Anolis sagrei: one gene and its partner. The protein of the gene in region 2 interacts with the protein of the main gene of each other region in a biochemical or structural test. Links are inferred from orthologs where the notes say so. Each region holds a gene or a part of one and is shown on either strand. Other genes may lie near its edges.

Region 1 (11,183 bases), on a different chromosome or scaffold from region 2:
TTGTTACTGTTCTCTTAGGCCGGATATGGGTTGTTTCAGACAAATAGGTAGCCCAGATCTAACAGTGAACACCTTCCCCATGAAGTCCCTCCATGTTCCCTCCAAATTGGCTTTGACTGCAGAGTAAAACCCCTGGCACATGAACACCAAGGAACTGTTGAATTTAGGCTGACATTTTCAGTAGGTTGTACATTTCAATATCCTCTGACTGACAGAAGTAAAGGTAGTACCTATAGTGAGCTGAAGGACTTTACAGACTTATTAGGTAATGCTTCGCTAAAGGTCAAAGAGAAGCAACCATTCTGAAACTTGAATGTAGACAGCTATGTCTTTTACAATTGTTTAAAATCCATTCCTTAAAAAACATTTAAAATTGTATACACATTTCTTCTTCTTTCTAGATGATACCAGCAAGGAGTTACCTATACTTTGGATATTTCCTTATTTCTTTGAGTCACGTATTCTTGAGTTTTTCCCACATTTCAGCATGTTGGATTATCAGGTATGGATAAAGAGAATTGATGTTACTATGAAATAGGAAAAATATTTGAGTGCTTCTTTTTTGAACCATTGTTGTCACCCAGTCATTTGTTTAATACCTTCAGCCTAATCTACTTTGGTATAGATATATTCATTTTAGCATATCTTAGGCACCTTCTATGCTGCCATATAAAATCCAGATTGTGTGTTGTGAACTGGATTATATGGTACTGTAAAGGTAAAGTGTTCTCCTTGATATTAAGTCTAGTCATGTCCAACTGTGGGGGAGGTGCTCATCTCCATTTCTAAGACAAAGAGCTGGTGTTGTCCATAGACACTTCCTAGGTCATGTGGCTAGCATGACTGTATGGAGCACTGTTACCTTCCCGCAGAAACAGTACCTACTGATCTACTCATATTTGCATGTTTTCGAACTGCTATGTTGGCAGAAGCTGGGGCTAACAATGGGAGCTCACCCCGTCCCCACCAACCTTCCAATCAGCAAGTTCTGCATCTTAGTGTTTTAACTCACTTTGCCACCACTGCCCTTATGGTAATGTAGATTTAAATAATCCAGTACAAAGCAGATAATGTGGATTATCTGATTGGATAATATCAAGGAGAAACCTTTACCTTTACAGTACCATATAATCCAGTTCACAACACATAATCTGGATTTTATATGGCAGTGTGGAAGGGGCCTTAATCTCACAATCTCTCTCTTTAAAATTAAATTTCTCAGTGGAGAATCGGAGTGCAACTGGGTTCCAGAATATGTAATCTTTTTTTGTCTCTAATGAAAGATAAAAATGTAAGAACAAACAAACAAATAAACAAATACAACATTGCACACAAGCTCCTAAGTATAGTAGACATCTTCATGGTAGTGATAGTTCTCAAAAATTAATTCTATACTTGCTGGATACTTCCAGTGCTGATTGCAACTTCTTACTACTGCTTTACCACCTCATCCTGAATACAACTTCGAAGTTAAGTCAATTTTGGTTTGGATTGGAGATTACTAGAAGCCTCCATGTAGGAAATAATCCTGCCTGAAAATTGGAGGGCCATGTAATTAAGTGTGGGTAACTGCAGCCTACCACCTTTTGTTAGGACTCCCATTTCTTAGAATCCCTTACCATTAGCTTTGGTATCTAAGGTTTGGAGGATTTTTATGTTTTTTGTTTTTTGTTTACTGATGTACTGTGCGCTTGGCCTCATGTAAGCCGCACCGAGTCTCTTGGGGAGATGGTAGCAGGGTATAAATAAAGTTGTTGTTATTATTATTATTATTATTATTATTATTATTATTATGCCAAACATATCTGGAGAGATACAAGTCCTTGTAATACTGGTTTGAAACTTTGTTTTTCATAGCAATATTTCTGCATCTCCCCCTCCCCTGCATCTTTTTTTAAAAATCTAGGTAGACTACGACAATCATGCACTTTATAAACATGGGAAGACGGGTCGTAAACAATCCCCAGTTCGTATTTTTACCAACCTTTCACCACGTTTGATCGTGCTTCCTACAGAGGAAGGATATAGGTAAGAAACATTTGATGATCCCCAGACTTCAAATATTATTTTTATTTTTTATAAAAATAACATTTATTTGGCTGAAGATATCAATTACAGAAATGTGTAATGCAATAGCCCTTGAAGCAGAAAAAAATATATACTTTCAACTATTTTCTCTCTCTCTCTTTCTCTCTCTCTCTCTATACCAGATTTTGCTCTGTCTGTCAGCGATATGTCAGTTTAGACAACCAGCACTGTGAAATCTGCAATTCGTGCACATCTAAAGTAAGTGTATGACTTTTGGAAGAGATTAATAACAGTTAAACTTTGATCTGGTTTAGAGAGATATGGAGTGGGTAAGCAAGTGGTTTCAAAGTGGAAGCTAAAACCTAAATACAGTTGCTAAAGAAATAATATATACTTGCTCCCTGTATGCATGTACCCTTTTCTCGTAAGAGAAATATGTTAGTGAAGTAATATATTTCTCCCTTCCAGTTGAGCATATATTTTTGGCATACACAAGGTGAAGGCTGCAGGGTAAAGGCTACAATAATATACATAGAGGACAAAGAGATTTTGTGCTTAAAGCATAACATAAATATCATAAGGCTAAATGGGAAATTCGTACAATTTAAGTCTAAATTCAGTACAAAGTTCATCTTTTCCTTTCTTTTTTTACAAATAGGATGGGAGACGATGGAGACATTGCTGTCTTTGCAAAAAATGTGTAAAACCCAGTAAGTATTTTTGACCTAATTTTCAGCACACAGGGCCCTTCTAAACAGCCATTTAACCCAGAATATCAAGACAGATAATCCACAATATCTGCTTTGAAGTGGGTTATCTGAGTCCACACTTCCATATAATCCAGTTCAATGTGGATTGTATATAGCTGTGCTGAAGGGGACACAGTAGTTCCTCAAAGGAAACAAATGTTAAACTGCTACTGAATGTTTTGCTGCAGGTTGCACTTGTAAGACATGGTTTTGAAATGCCTTTGAAAGGGAACTCTCTGGATCAATTGGGCCACAGTGATTGGAGAGGGCTGTTCTCTCTCATGCTTGGAATTGTCTTAGAGCTGTATGAACACTTTTTTTCTTTATAGCTCTAATGTGTTCCTTTTATTTTGCAGCTTGGGTTCACTGCAGCACTTGCGATAAATGTGCTCTTCCAAGTCACTCTTGTAAGGATACTGACACTGGGTGCTATATATGTGGAGCCGCAGACCATAAACGCACCACCTGCCCTAACCTGCAGGTAGACAGGAGAGGTTCCCAGTAAGTTTGTTATGTGAATTTTCCTCCCTTTCTTTGTGGGAACAAACAAGCTAATTTCCTTTTCATAAAAAAGGGCCTCATTGAATACTTGATATACTACAGCTATAGAAAGCTTTTTTCCACTTCACTAACACATTGAAAACTACATGTGACTCACACTCTTTGTGTACACATGTGTGTGCATGTATCTTTTAAAAAACTCAACTACGGTTACAGGTATGTTTGCTGCAAACACACAAGAAAGGAATATTTTACAAATCTCTCACAAGCTGCTATGTTTCGGTGTAAATATGCATTTATAGAATACTAGCTTGGGTACCTGGTTACTTGAAAAAGTCCATTTTTAATTGTACAAAATGCATAAGGTTGTGGGTGAACTACAATTCATCATGCAAATGTCCATCAGTACTTATTTGTTTTATGGGCAAGTTTGCTTAGGATGCATCATTGGTGAGATTCAGTGTGCTTTCTAACTGTAGGGTAAACTACAACTCTCACTATGGTTAGTCAGTCCCCTCAAACCCCTCCAGTAGGTTGAGTTAGTCACGGGGGTTCTGTGTGCCAAGTTTGGTCCAGGTCCATCATCGGTGGAGGCCACAGTTTCTCTGGTTGTGGGTGAACTACAACTTCCAGAAAGGAAAGTCAGTATTCCCCAAACCCCATAATCAAATAATGTTGCAATTGGCCACCTTGGTTAGCACTGAATGGCCATGCAGCTTCAAAGCCTGCCTGGGGTGCTTCCTGCCTGGGGGAACCCTTTGTTTGAGACACCCTCAGACAGTATCAGTTAACACCTCCCAAGCAAAGAATGCCCCCAGGCAGGAACCACCCATGCTTTGAAGGTGCAAGGCCATTCAATGCCAATCAAGGTGGCCAATTGCAACATTCCACAGATATATAACCTCACTTGCCTAGTTTCCAACGGACCTTGCAATCTCCGAGAATGCCTGCCATAGATGTGGGTGAAATATCAGGAGAGAACGCTTCTGGAATGTGACCATACAGTCTGCAAAATTCATAGCAGCCCAATATTTTATTTATTACCCACCTTTCTTTTTGACTTAAGACAAAATACATCTAAAAAATCACATTAAAACATAGTTAAAATGCAACCATAAAAGCATACATTTAAAAGATAAATATTTAAAAACACCTGAGACAAAGGTTAAAGCACAATAATCAGAGAATGTGATTTAAAAGTCATAGTCTCAATTGTTTTGAAATTGCTAAAGTTGTATTAGAATACTCTTTGTGTGTTCCTAATCGCCCCCTTACAGTACTTTCCAGGATCATACAAGAAACTTCACAATAGTGCTGTGAGCTTTAGAATTATTTTTTTTTAAAAAAGACCTGGAACTTTTAACTATTTGTTGAAGTCATATTTCCAGTTTTAACAAATGGCACAATTTTTACATTTTCTTCTTTTCAGAAGTGGCAAAAAGACAAAGAAAAAGAAGAAGAAGAAGGCAAGAGCAAATGTTGCCAAAAGAAAAGGTGCAAAGAAGACAAAAACTGCAAGACATACAAAGAACAAAAAATAGAAAAACTCATCTTTGCAGCAGTGCTGTTATTAAGCAGCAATTTGAAAGACAGACTAAATTAGGGCTTTGTTTTTGTACATATTGTACTTTTCACTAAAAAAGGCATAAAAAGACTTCGCAAAAAAGTTCAGCTTGCTAATGTGCTAAAAGTAAACACTATTATATGTTTATAGCCACATACACTATTCAGTGTTTTGCGGGTGAATTTGGAGAATTCAGTGCAATTCAATCATATTGTATAAAGGTGAATATGTGTATTTTTGTATTTAAAAAATTGCCTCTTTGGTGCCATCTTCATTTTTGTTCATCACTTGGGAGGATTTGAATACTCTGAATTGCTAAGAAGAAGTTGCAAAGTACTATAAGACATAGGACATTAACCACTTATCCCTAAAGCCAATCTGAGGGGCAAAGGCTGGATTGACCTATGATAGCTTAGACCTGCCTTTCCTTTTCAATCTCTCTGTCCAGCATCAAACCAAGTGATGACTGCCCAATACAAATATATACACATATAAATGTAGTGGTTTTTTAAATGCCACTGGAGAGTTCCTTTCGAAGTGGTTGATTTGTGATGGCCTTGATAGTATTCCATTTGCATTTTGCAAAGATGCTGCCTCTCCCCAAACCGACCTGAACTGTTTCACAGTAACTTTGTAATCTTCACATATCTTCTCATTATGGCATTATTTCATCACAGGGATAGATAGAACTATGTAACACAATTTTTGTTCCTGGGTTATAAATGTCATTTCCTAACTTGTTCTATTATAAAAACATGGAAAACTAAACTGTAAGGAACATGAAAGGCACTGCAGACTAATTCAACCAGATAAGTCAAGCCATAGCAGAGCACTTGATGAACCAACCTGGACACAGCATATTTTTTAAGAACACAGAAATGCTGGACCACTCAAACAACCGCTACACAGATAAGCCACTGAAATCCACAAGCATGTGGACAATTTCAACAGAAAGGAGGAAACCATGACATTGAACAAAATCTGTCTACCAGTATTAAAAAACACTCTAAAACCAGGACAGTTAATAAAGAATAACGCGCAGTAAACGGGAATTCCAGACAAGAAACAATCAGGGCCAGCTAATGCCTCCCAACAAAGGATTCCCCCGGGCAGAAAGCAGCCAGGCTTTGAAGCTGCAAGGCTTTTGTTTATTTGTTCAGTTGCTTCTGACTATTGGTGACCTCACGGACCAGCCCATGCCAGAGCTCCGTGGCCACCCTCAGGTCCTTCAAGGTCAAGTCAGTCACTTCAAGGATACCATTCATCCATCTTGCCCTTGGCCGACCCCTCTTCCTTTTTCCTTCCATTTTCCCTGGCATCATGATCTTCTCCAAAATTTCCTGTCTTCTCATTATGTGGCCAAATTACTTCATCTTGCCTCTAATATCCTTCCCTCCAGTGAGCAGTTGGAGGTATCAAGGTAGCCAATTGCAACATCCACACTTGCCCCCAACAGACAAGAGTTCTTTCTCCTACCTAGGACATTCCATAGACATATAAACCTCACTTGCCTTGTTTCCAACAGGCCTCAGCAGTTTAACCCACTGCACCACCAAACTGAATCCATACTGTAGAATTAATGTAGACTGGCACCATTTGGACTGCAATGGGATATAATTTTGGGATTTGCAGTTTGGTACAGCTCCAGCATTCTCTGGCAGAGAAGACTGAAGAACCTACTAAAACTCCAACTCCCAGGATTCCCTAGCATTGAGCCACTTCAGTTAAAGTGGGGTCAGGCTGCATTAATTCTGCAATGCAGATGCATCCTCAGAACCTTCCAAAGACAAGAGATCTGATCCTTCTGAAAGGCATACTTTCTAAGGATGCAGTTTGGCCTTTCGACCTCTAGATGGCGCAAGGCAAACCCTCTTACAGGAAGTGCTGGATGGTGATGCTTCTGCTTGCAAAAGCCCGGGAAGGAAGTGGAGCTGTGTTTCATTGCAGAGCAGAGTGACAACCGGGAAGGAGAAAAGAGGGTATGATGTGGTTGGATTGGTCACATTTTTCAAAATAGGATGCTTCTGTTCGATTCCTTGCAGGCACCTCTCCATCAGGGAGTTCTCTCTTACAAAGAGATTTAATTAAACAGGTTGAGGATCCCTGTTGCTAAATTTTGGTGACTGCAACAGCAGTGGACTCGAATTGAAACTGGCATGAGGTGCTATATTGCAGAGAAAAGCCATTGCAAACCACCTTTCAGTCGTCCTTGCCTGAGATCCCTTCTACACAGCCCTATATCCAAGGATATGATCCCAGATTATCTGCTTTGAACTGCATTTCCATCTACGAACCCGCATGTTCTCTTCGGTCATCTGGAGAGGCCCTGCTCGTGATCCCACCGGCGTCGCAAGCGCGCTTGGTGGGGACGCGGGACAGGGCCTTTTCCGTGGTGGCCCCCCGACTCTGGAACACCCTCCCCAAAGACCTTAGACAGGCCCCTACATTGGCTGTCTTCAGAACTTGAAGACCTGGCTTTTCCGATGCGCCTTCCCAGATTAGGAAATCTCCACTACCAAGTCCCATAAGCACTTTATCAGAACCAATGATTGCTGCACATCGCACTTTCCCTGGAAGCCCTATATACACCTCCTGTCACATCAGCACTTTTAATCTTGTACCCATTGCTCTGGCCCGGCCCAGTTTTATTGTGTTTAGTGTATTGTGCCTGTTGTTTATTTTGCTTTATTCTGTTTTTAATTGTTTGATTTGCTTAGATTGTATTGTTGTGTTGTGTGTTGAGGCCTCGGCCTGTGTAAGCCGCATCGAATCCTTCGAGAGATGCTAGCGGGGTACAAATAAAGTTTAATAATAATAATAATAATAATAATAATAATGTGAGTCTACACTGCCAGATAATCTGGGATAAGAAGATAATCTGGAATCAGTTCCTGGGGCAGTATAAATCTAGCCCAAGAAAACTTTGTGAGATTCTTAGGATTGCCATTAATTGACAGCTTGATATAGACAAATATATTCACAAACACAATGGCTGGAATCCTGATTGTCTAAATTTGAGATGGCCTGTTGAATCAACAGCTAAGTGATCCAACTTGTAAGTAAATAAAATTATTATTTATTTATTTCAGACATTTATATCCTGTCCTATCTCGACCTCCGCAGAGGGACTCGGCGGCTGACAACAAAAGCATAAATATACATCTTAGATTTTAAAAAATTATAAAACATCATAAAAACAGTAAAGCAATTGATTCAGTGGACCTACTCTAGGTTGGGCTAGCAAATTTAGGCCAATCTTGTCTATCATGTGGCATGGAGGAACCTGGGATGAGAACCTTTGGTGGTTAATAAATACTAGAAGAAATATTAGATGCATATTCAGGATTCTTTGCCACCAATACATAAAGGGAAGAGTGGATAAATATGCATTCTTCTCAATAGAAAGTTAGCTTTGATATTTCTGTTTTGGCATTCGTTTAAATATGTTGTGTTAATAAGGAGCCTTTGTGATGCAATGGGTTAAACTTCAAATCTGGGGAGTGGATGAGTTCCCATCTGTCAGCTCCAGCTTCTCGTGTAGAGACATCAAAGAAGCCTCCCACAGTATGGTAAAACATCCGGTCGTCCCCTTTGGAAATGTCTTTGCAGACGACCAATTCTCTCACACCAGAAGCGACTTGCAGTTTCTCGAGCTGCTCCTGAAATGGAAAAAAAATAACCAAAACCTGGGCTGTATCTTTTTATTTTAGGGAATTGCCACATCTGCAGCCATGCCTGCATTCCGGCAGGTTGGGGAGAAGCAACTGCCTCAAGAGATCATTTTCATGGCCTGGTCTCCCAAGAGGGATCTGATTGCCTTGGCCAACAAAGTTGGAGAGGTAAGGAAAGGGAACAGTGCTAAGAACCAATATATGTGGAAAGGATGGAGTGCTGAATGGGCCTGCTCTCTTTTACATTTTGTTACATGTAAAATCAGTTGTATTCTCTCCACATCCTTAGTAGATATAGCATGACATATTCATATTATAGAAAGTAACTGCAATTTGATATATATTAATAATACTATGTAACAAAATTGGAAAAAGTAAATCTGTTTCTAGCTTGAAAGTGTTATTTTCTGTTTAATTCTGTGGCACTTTGAAAGTAGTTGTTATACTCCAGAAACTTGGAGTATGTTTTTTTTTCCCCCGGCAATTGAATGTTTGCCTTATATGTTGGAAACCGGCCTGAGTCCCTTCAGGGAGATAGGATGGTATACAAATACAGTTTTATTATAGTTCTATTAAAGTTTGTTTTTTTGGCTGCCACAAATGAATTGGTTGAGATTCAGTGAGATATTCATTGAAAAACTATTGCAAAATGTGCTGCAGGGAGTTCTGCAAAAACAAAGTTTTTGTAATGTGTTGTCGAAGGCTTTCTTGGCTAAAATCACTGGGTTGCTATGAGTTTTCCAGGCTGTCTCGCCATGTTCCAGAAGCATTCTCTCCTGACTTTTTGCCCACATTTATGGCAGGCATCTTCAGAGGTCGTGAGGTCTGTTGGAAACTAGGCAAGTGAGGTTTATATATCTGTGGAATGTCCAGGGTGGGAGAAAGAACAATTGTTTGTTTAAGGCAAATGTGAATTTTGCAGTTGGTTACCTTCCATAGATGTGGGCGAAACGTCAGGCAAGAATGCTTCTGGAACATGCCCATACAGCCTGGAAAACTCACAGCAAACTGGACACCACTTTTTAAATCCAAGAGAACATCCCTTTATGAATGTCTAGGTCCTCTAGCACAACTTTGTGATCAACTTCCGTCAGGAGAACATATTACTTAAATCCATAAATAATAAAATCCACAAAAGGTCAACTCACAAGGGTGGAAGGGTCATCATAGAGTTGGTAGAGACCACAAGGGCCATCCAATTACCTTGTATTTGTTTAAGATGAGTTTGACCGTAACATTATGTAGTACAATTTTTGTTTTCTAAATGTCGTTTCCTAACTGGTTCTATCATAAAAACATGGAAAAGGTTGATTATCTTGCAGTAGATTTTGCTATAGTTTTTCAATAAATATCTCACTGAGTCTCAACCAATTCAACATAATTTGTGGCAACCACAAAAACAACATTTCTGAACTATAACAACTACTTTCGTACCACACAATTAAACAGGAAATAACCCTTTCACACCAGGAGCAACATTTTTTCAAATTTTGATACATCGTGTAATTTGGCACTGCACATTGACAATGTCATACTGCCATGGAAATCGATGCAGATTTTCTAAAACATTTTTTTTTGTTAGGATACATTTGTAATATTATGTTGCCATAATAGATGATGCTGGCTGCTGTAGAATTGTATTGTCGAAGGCTTTAATGGCTGGAATCACTGGGTTGTTGTAGGTTTTTTTCGGGCTATATGGCCATGTTCTAGAGGCATTCTCTCCTGACATTTCGCCTGCATCTATGGCAAGCATCCTCAGAGGTCGTGAGGTCTGTTGGAACTAGGAAAATGGGTTTATATATCTGTGGAAAGACCAGGGTGGGACAAAGGACTCTTGTCTGCTGGAGCTAGGTGTGAATATTTCAACTGACCACCTTGATTAGCATTTGATACCCTGGCAGTGCCTGGAGCAATCTTTTGTTGAGAGGTGATTAGATGTCCCTGATGGTTTTCCCTTCGCTGTTTTGCTGTTTTCATTTTAGAGTTTTTTAATATTGGTAGCCAGATTTTGTTCATTTTCATGGTTTCCTCCTTTTTGTTGAAATTTTCCACATGCTTGTGTATTTCAATGGCTTCTCTGTGTAGTCTGTAGAATTTTAATGCATTTTTCCTGCTGTTAGGTGCTCTGAAAATACCTCTCTCTTTTGTACTCGTTTGTTTTATTTTCTCTGGAGGCAGATAGTTTAAATACTTTCATTTCATTTCCCAACATTTCTTAGGTTTTACTTCACCGTCTTGCAAACTTTCAACGAGTCTGGAGTCTGCCACCAAGTGACAGCACAGGGAAAGATGTGACGGCCCTCGCATGGAGACCAGATGGCAAAAGTAAGATGTAACAAATGACCCTTTGTATCATGAATTACACTATGTAACGAAATTTGTAAATTATTCTGTTCCTGGTTTGAAAGTGTTATTTCCTGTATAATTGTGCAGTACTTACTTTGAACTCCGTGTTTGTGGCTGCTACAAACTATGTTGAATTAATTGAGGCTCAATGAGATATTCACTGAAAAACTATAGCAAAATATACAGCAGTTTTTTCAGTTTAATAAACTTTTCCCATGTTTTTATGATAAAACCAATTAGGAAATAACATTTATAACCCAAGAACAAAAATCGTTTTACATAGTGTTATGTTTTAAGTGAAATTGTGCTCTTAAGGCACAT
Region 2 (11,628 bases):
TGAATAAAAATGGTTTTTGAATGTAGAGATGAGGGATGGGAAGAAAAGCATGACATACTTTTGGAGATTTGGGAGGGAGACTCCAAGTTATATGATGTCATGTTAATAACTTAATGTTTTTAATATGAAAATGAAGGGTGGGAAGAAAAGCAGAAAATAATTTTGGAGATTTGGGAGGGAGACACAACCTGTAGTGACATGATGTCATATTAATAACAGTTTTTTTTAATGTGAAGATGGGAGAAAAAGAGGTAATTTCAGAGATTTTGGAGGGAGACTCAGGCCCCTTCTACATTGCCAGAAAATCCAGGTTATCTAAGTGAAAAATACACATTATCAGATTTGATCTATATCCTAACATATCAAGGCAGGAAATACCACAATTTCTGCTTTGAACTGGGTTATCTGAGTCCACACTAAGATAATGTGGGATTTTCTACCTTGATATTCTGGGATTTAGGGCTGTCTGGAACGGACCTGGGAGGCAGACTCAACTTGTAGTTACGTGTAAACTTATGTGTATAGGGCCTCTATGAAACAGTAATTAATTTAATGTTACGCTTTGGATCCCATCTCCAAGATATCTCATGATACATACGTATATGCAAATACAGGTATTCCAAAATCCAAAACACTTTCAAGTCCCAAGCATTTCAGAAAAAGGATATTCAATTTGTAGTTACATGATGCCACGTGAATAACAATCATTTCTGAATGTGGAGATGAGGGAAGTGGAGAAAAGTATGACATAATTTCAGAGATTTGGGAGGGACACTCAAAGTTACATGATGTCATGTTAACAACGTAATGCTTTTTAATATGGAGATGAGGGATGGGGAGAAAGGCAGGACATAATTTTGGAGATTTGGGAGGGGGACTCAACCTGTAGTGACAATGTGTCATATTAATAACAAGGAGGTAATTTCGGAGATTTGGGGTGGAGACTTAGGCCCCTTCCACACTGCTGAATAAAATCCACATTGAAATGGATTATATGTCAACGTGGACTCAGAGAATCCAGTTCAAAGCAAGTATTGTGGATGATCTGCCTTGATATTCTGGGTGAGATGGCTTTGTGGAAGGGCCCTGATGTTTTATTGATAACTTAATGCTATTTAAGATGGAGATTAGGAATGGGAAGAAAGGCTGAACATAAATTTTGTGATTTGGGATATTGTGGATGATCTGCCATGATATTCTGCGTGATATGGCTGTGTGGAAAGGGCCCTGAAAGTTATCTGATGCCACGTTCATAACTTAATGCTTTTTCAGGTGGAGATTAGGAATGGGTAAGAAGGGCTGTATATCAATTTGGAGATTTGGGAGGGAGAGTCAACCTGCACTTACATGATTTCATATTAATAACAATCGTTTCTTTTAAATGTGGAGATGAGGGATGAGAAGAAAAGCGGGAGGTAATCTTGGGAGATTTCGGAGGGAGACTCAGGCCCCTTCCAAACAGGTATAAAATCCACATTGAACTGGATTATATGGCAGTTTGGACTTAGGGCCCTTCCACACTGCCATATATCCCAGTTCAAAGTGGATAATGTGGGGTTTTATTCAGCTATGTGGAAGTGGCCTCAGATAATCCAGTTCAAACAGGATATTTTGGATGATCTGCCTTGATATTCTGGGTGATGTGGCTGTGTGGAATGGCCCTGAAAGTCGCCTGATGTCATATTAATAACTTAATGCTTTTTAAGATGGAGATGAAGGATGGGGAGAAGGGCAGAACATAATTTCAGATATTTGGGAGGGAGACTTAACTTGTAATGATATGATGTCATACTAATACCAATTGTTTGTTTGTTTTAAATGTGGAGATGAGGAGAAAAGCAGGAGATAATTTTGGAGATTTAGGAGGGAGACTCAACCTGAAGTGATATGATGTCACATGAGTACAATGGTTTCTGATTGTGGAGATGAGAGATGAGGAAAAAAAGCAGGACATACTTTTGGAGATTTGGAAGGAAGACTCAGATGGCTTTGTGGAAGGGCCCTGATGTCTTATTGATAACTTAATGCTTTTTAAGATGGAGATTGGGAATGGGGAGAAAGGCTGAATATAAATTTTGTGATTTGGGATATTACGGATGATCTGCCATCATATTCTGGGTGAGATGGCTGTGTGGAAGGGCCCAGATGTCTTATTGATTACTTAATGCTTTTTACGATAAAGATTAGGAATGGGAAGAAAGGCTGAACATAAATTTTATGATTTAGGATGTCGTGGATGACCTGCCATGATATTCTGGGTGAGATGGCTGTGTGGAAGGACCCTGATGTCTTACTGGTAACGTAATGCTTTTTACGATAGAGATTAGAAATGGGGAGAAAGGCTGAACATACATTTTGTGATTTGGGATATTGTAGATGACCTGCCATGATATTCTGGGTGATATGGCTGTGTGGAAGGGCCCAGATGTCTTATTGATTACTTAATGCTTTTTACGATAAAGATTAGGAATGGGAAGAAAGGCTGAACATAAATTTTATGATTTAGGATGTCGTGGATGACCTGCCATGATATTCTGGGTGAGATGGCTGTGTGGAAGGACCCTGATGTCATATTGATAACTTAATGCTTTTTAAAACGGAGATTAGGAATGGGAAAAAAGGCAGGGCATAATTTCCAAGATTTGGGAGGGAGAACTCAAAACCTGTAGTGACAAGATGTCATTTTAATCACAATGCCTTCTTTTAAATGTGGAGATGAGGGATGGGCAGAAAGGCTGAACATAAATTTTGTGATTTGGGATATTGTGGATGACCTGCCATGATATTCTGGGTGAGATGGCTGTATGGAAGGGCCCTGATGTCTTATTGATAACTTAATGCTTTTTACGATAGAAATTAGGAATGGCTAGAAAGGTGAACATACATTTTATGATTTGGGATATTGTGGATGATCTGCCATGATATTCTGGGTGAGACGGCTGTGCAGAAGGGCCCATTATATTCTGGGTGGGATGGCTGTGTGGAAGGGCCCTGATGTCTTATTGATTACTTAATGCTTTTTACGATAGAGATTAGGAATGGGAAGAAAGGCTGAACATAAATTTTATGATTTGGGATATTGCGGATGATCTGCCATCATATTCTGGGTGAGATGGCTGTGTGGAAGGGCCCTGATGTCTTACTGGTAACGTAATGCTTTTTACGATAGAGATTAGAAATGGGGAGAAAGGCTGAACATACATTTTGTGATTTGGGATATTGTAGATGACCTGCCATGATATTCTGGGTGATATGGCTGTGTGGAAGGGCTCAGATGTCTTATTGATTACTTAATGCTTTTTACGATAAAGATTAGGAATGGGAAGAAAGGCTGAACATAAATTTTATGATTTAGGATGTCGTGGATGACCTGCCATGATATTCTGGGTGAGATGGCTGTGTGGAAGGACCCTGATGTCATATTGATAACTTAATGCTTTTTAAAACGGAGATTAGGAATGGGAAAAAAGGCAGGGCATAATTTCCAAGATTTGGGAGGGAGAACTCAAAACCTGTAGTGACAAGATGTCATTTTAATCACAATGCCTTCTTTTAAATGTGGAGATGAGGGATGGGCAGAAAGGCTGAACATAAATTTTGTGATTTGGGATATTGTGGATGACCTGCCATGATATTCTGGGTGAGATGGCTGTATGGAAGGGCCCTGATGTCTTATTGATAACTTAATGCTTTTTACGATAGAAATTAGGAATGGGAAGAAAGGCTGAATATAAATTTTGTGATTTGGGAGGTTGTGGATGACCTGCCATGATATTCTGGGTGAGATGGCTGTGTAGAAGGGCCCATGATATTCTGGGTGGGATGGCTGTGTGGAATGGCCCTGATGTCTTATTGATAACTTAACGCTTTTTACGATAGAGATTAGGAATGGGAAGAAAGGCTGAACATAAATTTTGTGATTTGGGATATTGTGGATGACCTGCCATGATATTCTGGGTGAGATGGCTGTGTAGAAGGGCCCATTATATTCTGGGTGGGATGGCTGTGTGGAAGGGCCCTGATGTCTTATTGATAACTTAACGCTTTTTACGATAGAGATTAGGAATGGGAAGAAAGGCTGAACATAAATTTTGTGATTTGGGATGTTGTGGATGACCTGCCATGATATTCTGGGTGAGATGGCTGTATAGAAGGGCCCATGATATTCTGGGTGGGATGGCTGTGTGGAATGGCCCTGATGTCTTATTGATAACTTAACGCTTTTTACGATAGAGATTAAGAATGGGAAGAAAGGCTGAACATAAATTTTGTGATTTGGGATGTTGTGGATGACCTGCCATGATATTCTGGATGAGATGGCTGTGTAGAAGGGCCCATGATATTCTGGGTGGGATGGCTGCGTGGAAGGGCCCAGATGTCTTATTGATAACTTAACGCTTTTTACGATAGAGATTAGGAATGGGGAGAAAGGCTGAACACAAATTTTGTGATTTGGGATATTGTGGATGGCCTGCCATGATATTCTGGGTGAGATGGCTGTGTAGAAGGGCCCATGATATTCTGGGTGGGATGGCTGCGTGGAAGGGCCCTGATGTCTTATTGATAATTTAACGCTTTTTACGATAGAGATTAGGAATGGGAAGAAAGGCTGAACATAAATTTTATGATTTGGGATGTTGTGGATGACCTGCCTTGATATTCTGGGTGAGATGGCTGTATAGAAGGGCCCATGATATTCTGGGTGGGATGGCTGTGTGGAATGGCCCTGATGTCTTATTGATAACTTAACGCTTTTTACGATAGAGATTAAGAATGGGAAGAAAGGCTGAACATAAATTTTGTGATTTGGGATGTTGTGGATGACCTGCCATGATATTCTGGATGAGATGGCTGTGTAGAAGGGCCCATGATATTCTGGGTGGGATGGCTGCGTGGAAGGGCCCAGATGTCTTATTGATAACTTAACGCTTTTTACGATAGAGATTAGGAATGGGGAGAAAGGCTGAACACAAATTTTGTGATTTGGGATATTGTGGATGGCCTGCCATGATATTCTGGGTGAGATGGCTGTGTAGAAGGGCCCATGATATTCTGGGTGGGATGGCTGCGTGGAAGGGCCCTGATGTCTTATTGATAATTTAACGCTTTTTACGATAGAGATTAGGAATGGGAAGAAAGGCTGAACATAAATTTTATGATTTGGGATGTTGTGGATGACCTGCCTTGATATTCTGGGTGAGATGGCTGCGTGGAAAGGGCCCTGAAAGTTGCCTGATGTCATGTTCATAACTTAATGCTTTTTCAGGTGGAGATGATGGATGGGGAGAAAGGCTGAACATAATTTTAGATATTTAGGAGGGTGAGTCTACCTGTAGTGCCATGATGTCATACTAATAACTTAATGTGTGTGCATGCTTTATGTGAAGAGCAACCCAGGAGAGGATCTGGAAGGTTTGGGAGGAGGGTGGGCGACGTTTTCCTGATCAGGGGTTAATGTTGAGGGCAGGAGGGGGGGGCAAGGACCCCCTTGAAGCCCTCCTTCCCTCCCTCCCTCCCTCCACATGGCTCCTTCCAGCCTCTTGGGAGAAGGTCCTGGGCGAAGAGTTCCACGGGAGGCACTTCCCTGGCTCGGCAGCAGCCTTTTCCCGGCGGGGAGGCGGAGGGAGAGGCTCCTCGGCCGGCTGGCCTGCCTGCCTGCTTCCTCCCGCCGCCCGGCGTAGGCCTCTCTCTCTCTCTGGCCCGCGGGGTCCCTACCTGGACGGGTTCCTGCAGCACCGTCATCCTCCCCGGCTTCCCCTCAGGGACAGGACCCGGATGAGGGAGGTGGGCCCAGGGCGCCCCCTCCTCTCTCTGTTCCCCCCTCAGACTCCGCCTCCGTGGGTGACGCGGGAATAGTAGTAGTAGTAGTAGTTGTACTTGTAGTAGTAGCAGCGGCCACCCGCACCCCGTCTCATTTAAACTGGCTGCGACCGTTAACCGGGCCGCGCAGGAGGGAAAGGGAAAGGAAGGAAGGGAAGGCCCCGGCCCGTCAGGAGCCGAATCTTCCCGAGCCGCCGACGGAAAGGCACGGAAAGACCCGACCTCGGCGAGGCCTCCTCCTCCGCGCTTTTCCGAGCGGACACGGAATGAGCCGAACGCGTCCCGAACGCCTCCACGGAAAGAGCCGAAAGGAGACGAAGGCTTCCCAACGCCTGCCCCCAAGCGGCCGCGGACTCGTCCTTCTTCGCCCCGTTTGACGTAAGTCGCCGAAGTGGCGCGAAACGGCCCTGCTTTGAAATGGGAGAGAAAAAAAGAATCTCCATCTTGAAAATATGTTTAGGAGTCATTGTCTCTCATCATATAGGTATGACATTTGGCCTGAATGGTGTAATTAATGTATGCATATGGTAAACATGCATCAAAATAAGCGTTTGCAGTGGGAAACGAGAATACCCGGAAGTAATGTATGGGTAAGATAAACATGCCTCCTAATAAGCGTTTACAGTGGGACACGAGAATATCCGGAAATAAACGAAGACGTTCGGCGCCTGTTACGGAAATAGACGAAGTGGGTCGAGGCAAAAAAAATACCCGATTGCTGTCAATACCTTTCCCCTTGAGTATTGGGAGTTGGAATAGGACAACCTGCCGAGCAGGATTTTGTGCTTACAACAGGTTGTTTCACCTACAAACACCCCACCCAGAAGCAGAGTGTTTCCAGCCTTCCTGAACTGGAAACAACCCATTGAATGTGTTGTTGAAAGCTTTCATATCCGGGTTGCTGTGAGCACCACCTCCAGAGCCAGAAAGGAAAGGAGAAGCCTTTGCTTTTGTTTATGCATTTGTTGTCTCATTGTCTGTCATTGTAATCAAGGTATTGAATGTTTGCCTGTGTCTGTTTACACACACACACACACATATTTATTTCGGTTGCTTCTACCCCGCCCTTCTCACCCCGGAGGGGACTCAGGGCGGCTTACAAAAGCAACGCACAATTCGATGCCCGCATCACATAACAGCAATAAGACAAATAACATCAGGTAACAGAAACGGCAATTCTAGCAGTAACATCAATTAATAGAGACAGTAATTATTGTAAGGCAAAAACAACCATAAAAGCAGTAAAACCAATACAAACCATTCTTCTCATTGACGGTCAGCGTTTCGCAATCTCATAGTTCAAATTCCAATCCACAATTGTCAGTCCTTTCAGTCCTATCCATCTGGTTGTCCAAATCTAATTGTCACATTGCCCAAAGGCCTGGTCCCACAGCCACGTCTTTACCTTCCTCCTGAAGGAGAGGAGAGGATGCCCTAATTTCCCCCGTGAGTGAGTTCCACAGGTGAGGGGCCACCACTGAGAAGGCCCTGCTCCTCGTCCCCACCAGCCTCACTTGTGAAAGCGGTGGGGTCGAGGGTAAGGCCTCCCCAGATGATCTCACATTACGGGGCGGGACGTAGAGGGAGATACGTTCGGACAGATACACTGGACCGGAATCGTAAAAGGTTTTGTAGGTCAAAACCAGCACCTTGAATTGTGCTCGGAACTGAACCGGCAGCCAGTTGAGCTGACACAGCAGGGGGGTGGTGTGCTCCCTGTATGTCGCTCTGATGACCAATCTGGCTGCCGCTCGCTGGACCAGTTGAAGTTTCCGAACAGTCTTCAAGGGCAACCCCACGTAGAGTGTGTTGCAGTAGTCTATTCGGGATGTAACAAGAGCGTGGACCACTGTGGTCAGATCAGACTTCCCAAGGTACGGGAACACACACACACACACACACACACACACTGTAATCCACTCTGAGTCCCCTCAGAATATAAATATAAATAAAGGCAGAATATACATATAAATAAAGGCAGTTTATAAACAAAGTGTTGTTGTTGTTGTTGTTGTTGTTGTTGTTGTTGTTGTTGTTGTTGTTATCTCCCTCTTTTCCCCTCTTCCCTGGTAAGAGAACTATGCAAAACTGTATTGAAATAACATTTTTTTCTAATCTGCCACTGGAGGAGAACCTTTGCACCTACGTTTTCTTTATTAATGAACAGTCAGGGAAGAGGACTCATATGTACAAGAATCAAGCACCCAAAGAAACGTGAACTATATAAAATGTGCTTGAGAAACTGTTGGAGTGTTGAACATCCAGGAAGCCAAGCCTCTTTAGAGATGTAATTGAAGTGTTTGCATAAGCGTTGTCTTTTGTCTCTGTCACCTAGACTATTTCAGATCATTTTCCAAGTCTTGCCCCATTTCTCCTAGGACAGTGCTTCTCAACCTGGGGGTTGGGACCCCTGGGGGGGGGTCACGAGGGAGTGTCAGGGGGGTCACCAAAGACCATCTGAAAACATAGGATTTTCTGTCGGTCATAGGGGTTCCGTGTGGGAAGTTTGGCCCAAGTCTATCATTGGTGGGGATCAGAATAATCTTTTATTGTAGGTGAACTGGGGGGGGGGGGGTCACGAGGGAGTGTCAGGGGGGTCGCCAAAGACCATCTGAAAACATAGGATTTTCTGTCGGTCATAGGGGTTCCGTGTGGGAAGTTTGGCCCAAGTCTATCATTGGTGGGGATCAGAATAATCTTTTATTGTAGGTGAACTATAAATCCCAGCAACTACAACTCCCAAATGCCAAGGTCTATTTTCCCCAAACTCCACCAGTGTTCATTCACATTGGGCATGTTGACTATTCATGGCAAGTTTGGTCCAGATCCATCATTGTGTGAGTCCATAGTGCTCTCTGGATATAGGTGAACTACAACTCCAAACCTCAAGGCCCACCAAACCCTTCCAGTATTTTCTGTTAGTCAAGAAAATTCTGTGTGGCAAGATTGGTTCAATTCCATTGTTGGAGTTCATAATGCTCTTTGATTGTAGGTGAACTATAAATCTCAGCCACTTCAACTCCCAAATGACAACATCAATCCCCTGCCAACCCCACCAGTATTCAAATTGGGGCATATCAGGTATTTGTGCCAAATTTGGTCCAGCGAATGAAAATACATCCTGGATATCATATATTTATATTATGATTCATAACAGTAGCAAAATTGTAGTTGTGAAGTAGCAACAGAAATAATGTGATGGTTGGGGGCCACCACAACATGAGGAACTGTATTAAGGGGTCGCGGCATTAGAAAGGTTGAGAACCACTGTCCTAGGAGGATCTTCCAAATGGTTCCAGCTTCAAGTGGACGAATAGCAGCTTTCCATTTTTCCCACCACAAGGGAGACTCCATGCACCCCTGACATCACACAGAGTCCCCAGCTCAGATCCTTACTTGACTATTCCTGAGCCAATCAGGGAAGGGAGTAGGTCTTCTGAATGGCTGCCAATGGGGATAAAATGCTTTGCACTGTATTATATGTTATACTAGCTTGGGGACCCGGCGTTGCCCGGGTTATTAGAGAAAGTGGGTAATAGCGGTTCTGTATGCCAAGTTTGGTCTTTATTGGTCTTTGGATAACAGCTGCATTATTTTCAGGAAGTGAGTGAAGGTACTTGAAGTCCCATCATCCATGGGCCATCCTCCTACAAACAGCAGCAGGATATAGAGTGGGTCATGGGGGCTCTGTGTGCCAAGTTTGGCCTTTATCAGTCATTAGATGAGGGTGGCAGTGGTGTCAGTAAGTGAGTGAAGGTACTGCAAGTCCCATCATCCAAAGTCCATCCCCTTTCAAACTGCAGCAGACTGTAGAGTGGATCATGGGGGCTCTGTGTGCCAAGTGTGGTCTTGATTGGTCATTAGAAGAGGGTTGCAGCAATTTTTGCAAGGGAGTGGAGGTACTTGAAGTCCCATCATCCATGGTCTGTCCTCCTCCAAACTGCAGCAAGATGTAGAGTGGGTCATTGGAGCTCGATGTGGCAAGTTTAGTCTTGAGTAGTCATTGGCGAGGGTCTCAGTGGTCTCAGGAAGTGAGCAAAGGTACTGCAAGTCCCATCATCCATCTCCAAATTTTTCCAAACAACACCAGGACGTAAAGTGGGTCATGAGAGGTCTATGTGCCAAGTTTGGTCTTGATCCGTCATTGGATGAGGTTTGCAGAGGTCTCAGAATGTGAGTGAACGTACTGGAAGTTCCATCATTCATGGTCCACCCTTCTTCAAAACTGCAGCAGGATGTAGAGTGGGTCATGGGGGCTCTGTGTGCCAACGTTGGTCTTGATTGGCCATTAGATGAATTTTGCAGCAGTCTTGGGTAGTGGAGGTACTTGAAGTCCCATCATCCATGGTCTGTCGTCCCCCAAACTGCTCCGGGATGTAGAGTGGGTCATTGAAGCTCCATGTGCCAAGTTTAGTCTTGATGAATCATTGGCGAGGGTCTCAGTGGTCTCAGGAAGTGAGTGAAGTGACTGCAAGTCCCATCATCCACTGTCAGATTCTTCCAAACCGCACCAGGATGTAGAGTGAGTTATGCAGGCTCTCTGTGTAAATTGTGGTCCTGATCCATCATCGTTGGCAGTTGTAATGGTCTTAGGAAGGGAGTGCAGGTATTGGAAGTCCCATCGTCCATGGTGCATCCTCCTTCAAACTGCACTTGGATGTAGAATGCGTCATGGAGACTCAGTGTGCCAAGTTTGGTATTTATTGGTAATTGGATGAGGGTTGCAGTGGTATGAAGAATTGAGCAATGGTACTGCAAGTCCCATAATCCATGGTCCATCCCCGGCCAAACCACACCAGGACGTAAAGTGGGTCATGAGTGGTCTATGTGTGAAGTTTGGCCCTGATCAGTCATTGGCTAAGGTTAACAGCGGTCTCAGAATGTGAGTGGTGGTACTGCAAGTCCCATCATCCATGGTTCATAGTCCTCCAAACTGCAGTAGGATGTAGAGTGGGTGATGGGGGCTCTGTGTGCCTATTTCGGTCTGTATTGGGAGTGTTCTGACCCAGCCCCCTTTGGCCTTTCCTTTCCTCTCTTTGTCATCTCGGAATGTTGGATTTGAGGCTGGCCAATCAGAGACCATATGCAAATTTCCTTCTGTCATGCCCTGTTTCTGCCATGAACCCTCTTCTCCACCAGGGGCTCCTATTGAAGCTGCCCAATCAGAGACCATATGCAAATAGCACCACAGCGGCAGCCAATCAGAACGCTGGCACATACACCGCCCTCCACAATTCCTCTGTCCTATACAAACAAACACTCTTCTTTATTATATACTAGCTTGGGGACCCGGCGCTGCCCGGGTTATTAGAGAAAGTGGGTAATGGCGGTTCTGTATGCCAAGTTTGGTCTTTATTGGTCATTGGATAATGGCTGCATTGTTTTCAGGAAGTGAGTGAAGGTACTTGAAGTGCCATCATCCATGGCCCATCCTCCTACAAACAGCAGCAGGATATAGAGTGGGTCATGGGGGCTCCGGTTGCAAGTTTGGTCTTTATCAGTCATTAGATGAGGGTGGCAGTGGTGTCAGTAAGTGAGTGAAGGTACTGCAAGTCCCATCATCCAAAGTCCATCGTCTTTCAAACAGCAGCAGAATGTAGAGTGGATCATGGGGGCTCTATGTGGCAAGTTTGGTCTTGATTGGTCATTAGAAGAGGGTTGCAGCAATCTTCGGAAGGGAGTGGAGGTACTTGAAGACCCATCATCCATGGTCTGTCCTCCAAACTGCACCAGGATGTAGAGTGGGTCATTGGAGCTCCATGTGGCAAGTTTAGTCTTGATTAGTGATTGGCGAGGGTCTCAGTGGTC

The links.
Region 1: the proteins of CDC27 (region 2) and ANAPC4 form a complex in vitro, tested with the Homo sapiens proteins (2 studies listed by BioGRID). The link is inferred for Anolis sagrei from reciprocal best matches to the Homo sapiens genes CDC27 and ANAPC4.

What each region holds. Positions count from the first base shown.
Region 1 is NC_090025.1:112,825,292-112,836,474, forward strand, and holds the start of ANAPC4 (anaphase-promoting complex subunit 4), read left to right. Parts: upstream 1-6,709; 5' UTR 6,710-6,821; intron 6,822-8,552; 5' UTR 8,553-8,573; coding exon 8,574-8,681; intron 8,682-10,735; coding exon 10,736-10,841; intron 10,842-11,183. Other genes in the region: rRNA N6-adenosine-methyltransferase ZCCHC4, read left to right, coding at 402-502, 1,907-2,028, 2,211-2,286, 2,687-2,738, 3,134-3,278, 4,708-4,819. UniProt on the Homo sapiens protein: Component of the anaphase promoting complex/cyclosome (APC/C), a cell cycle-regulated E3 ubiquitin ligase that controls progression through mitosis and the G1 phase of the cell cycle.
Region 2 is NC_090026.1:44,042,543-44,054,170, reverse strand, and holds the start of CDC27 (cell division cycle protein 27 homolog), read right to left. Parts: upstream 6,032-11,628; 5' UTR 5,743-6,031; coding exon 5,716-5,742; intron 1-5,715. UniProt on the Homo sapiens protein: Component of the anaphase promoting complex/cyclosome (APC/C), a cell cycle-regulated E3 ubiquitin ligase that controls progression through mitosis and the G1 phase of the cell cycle.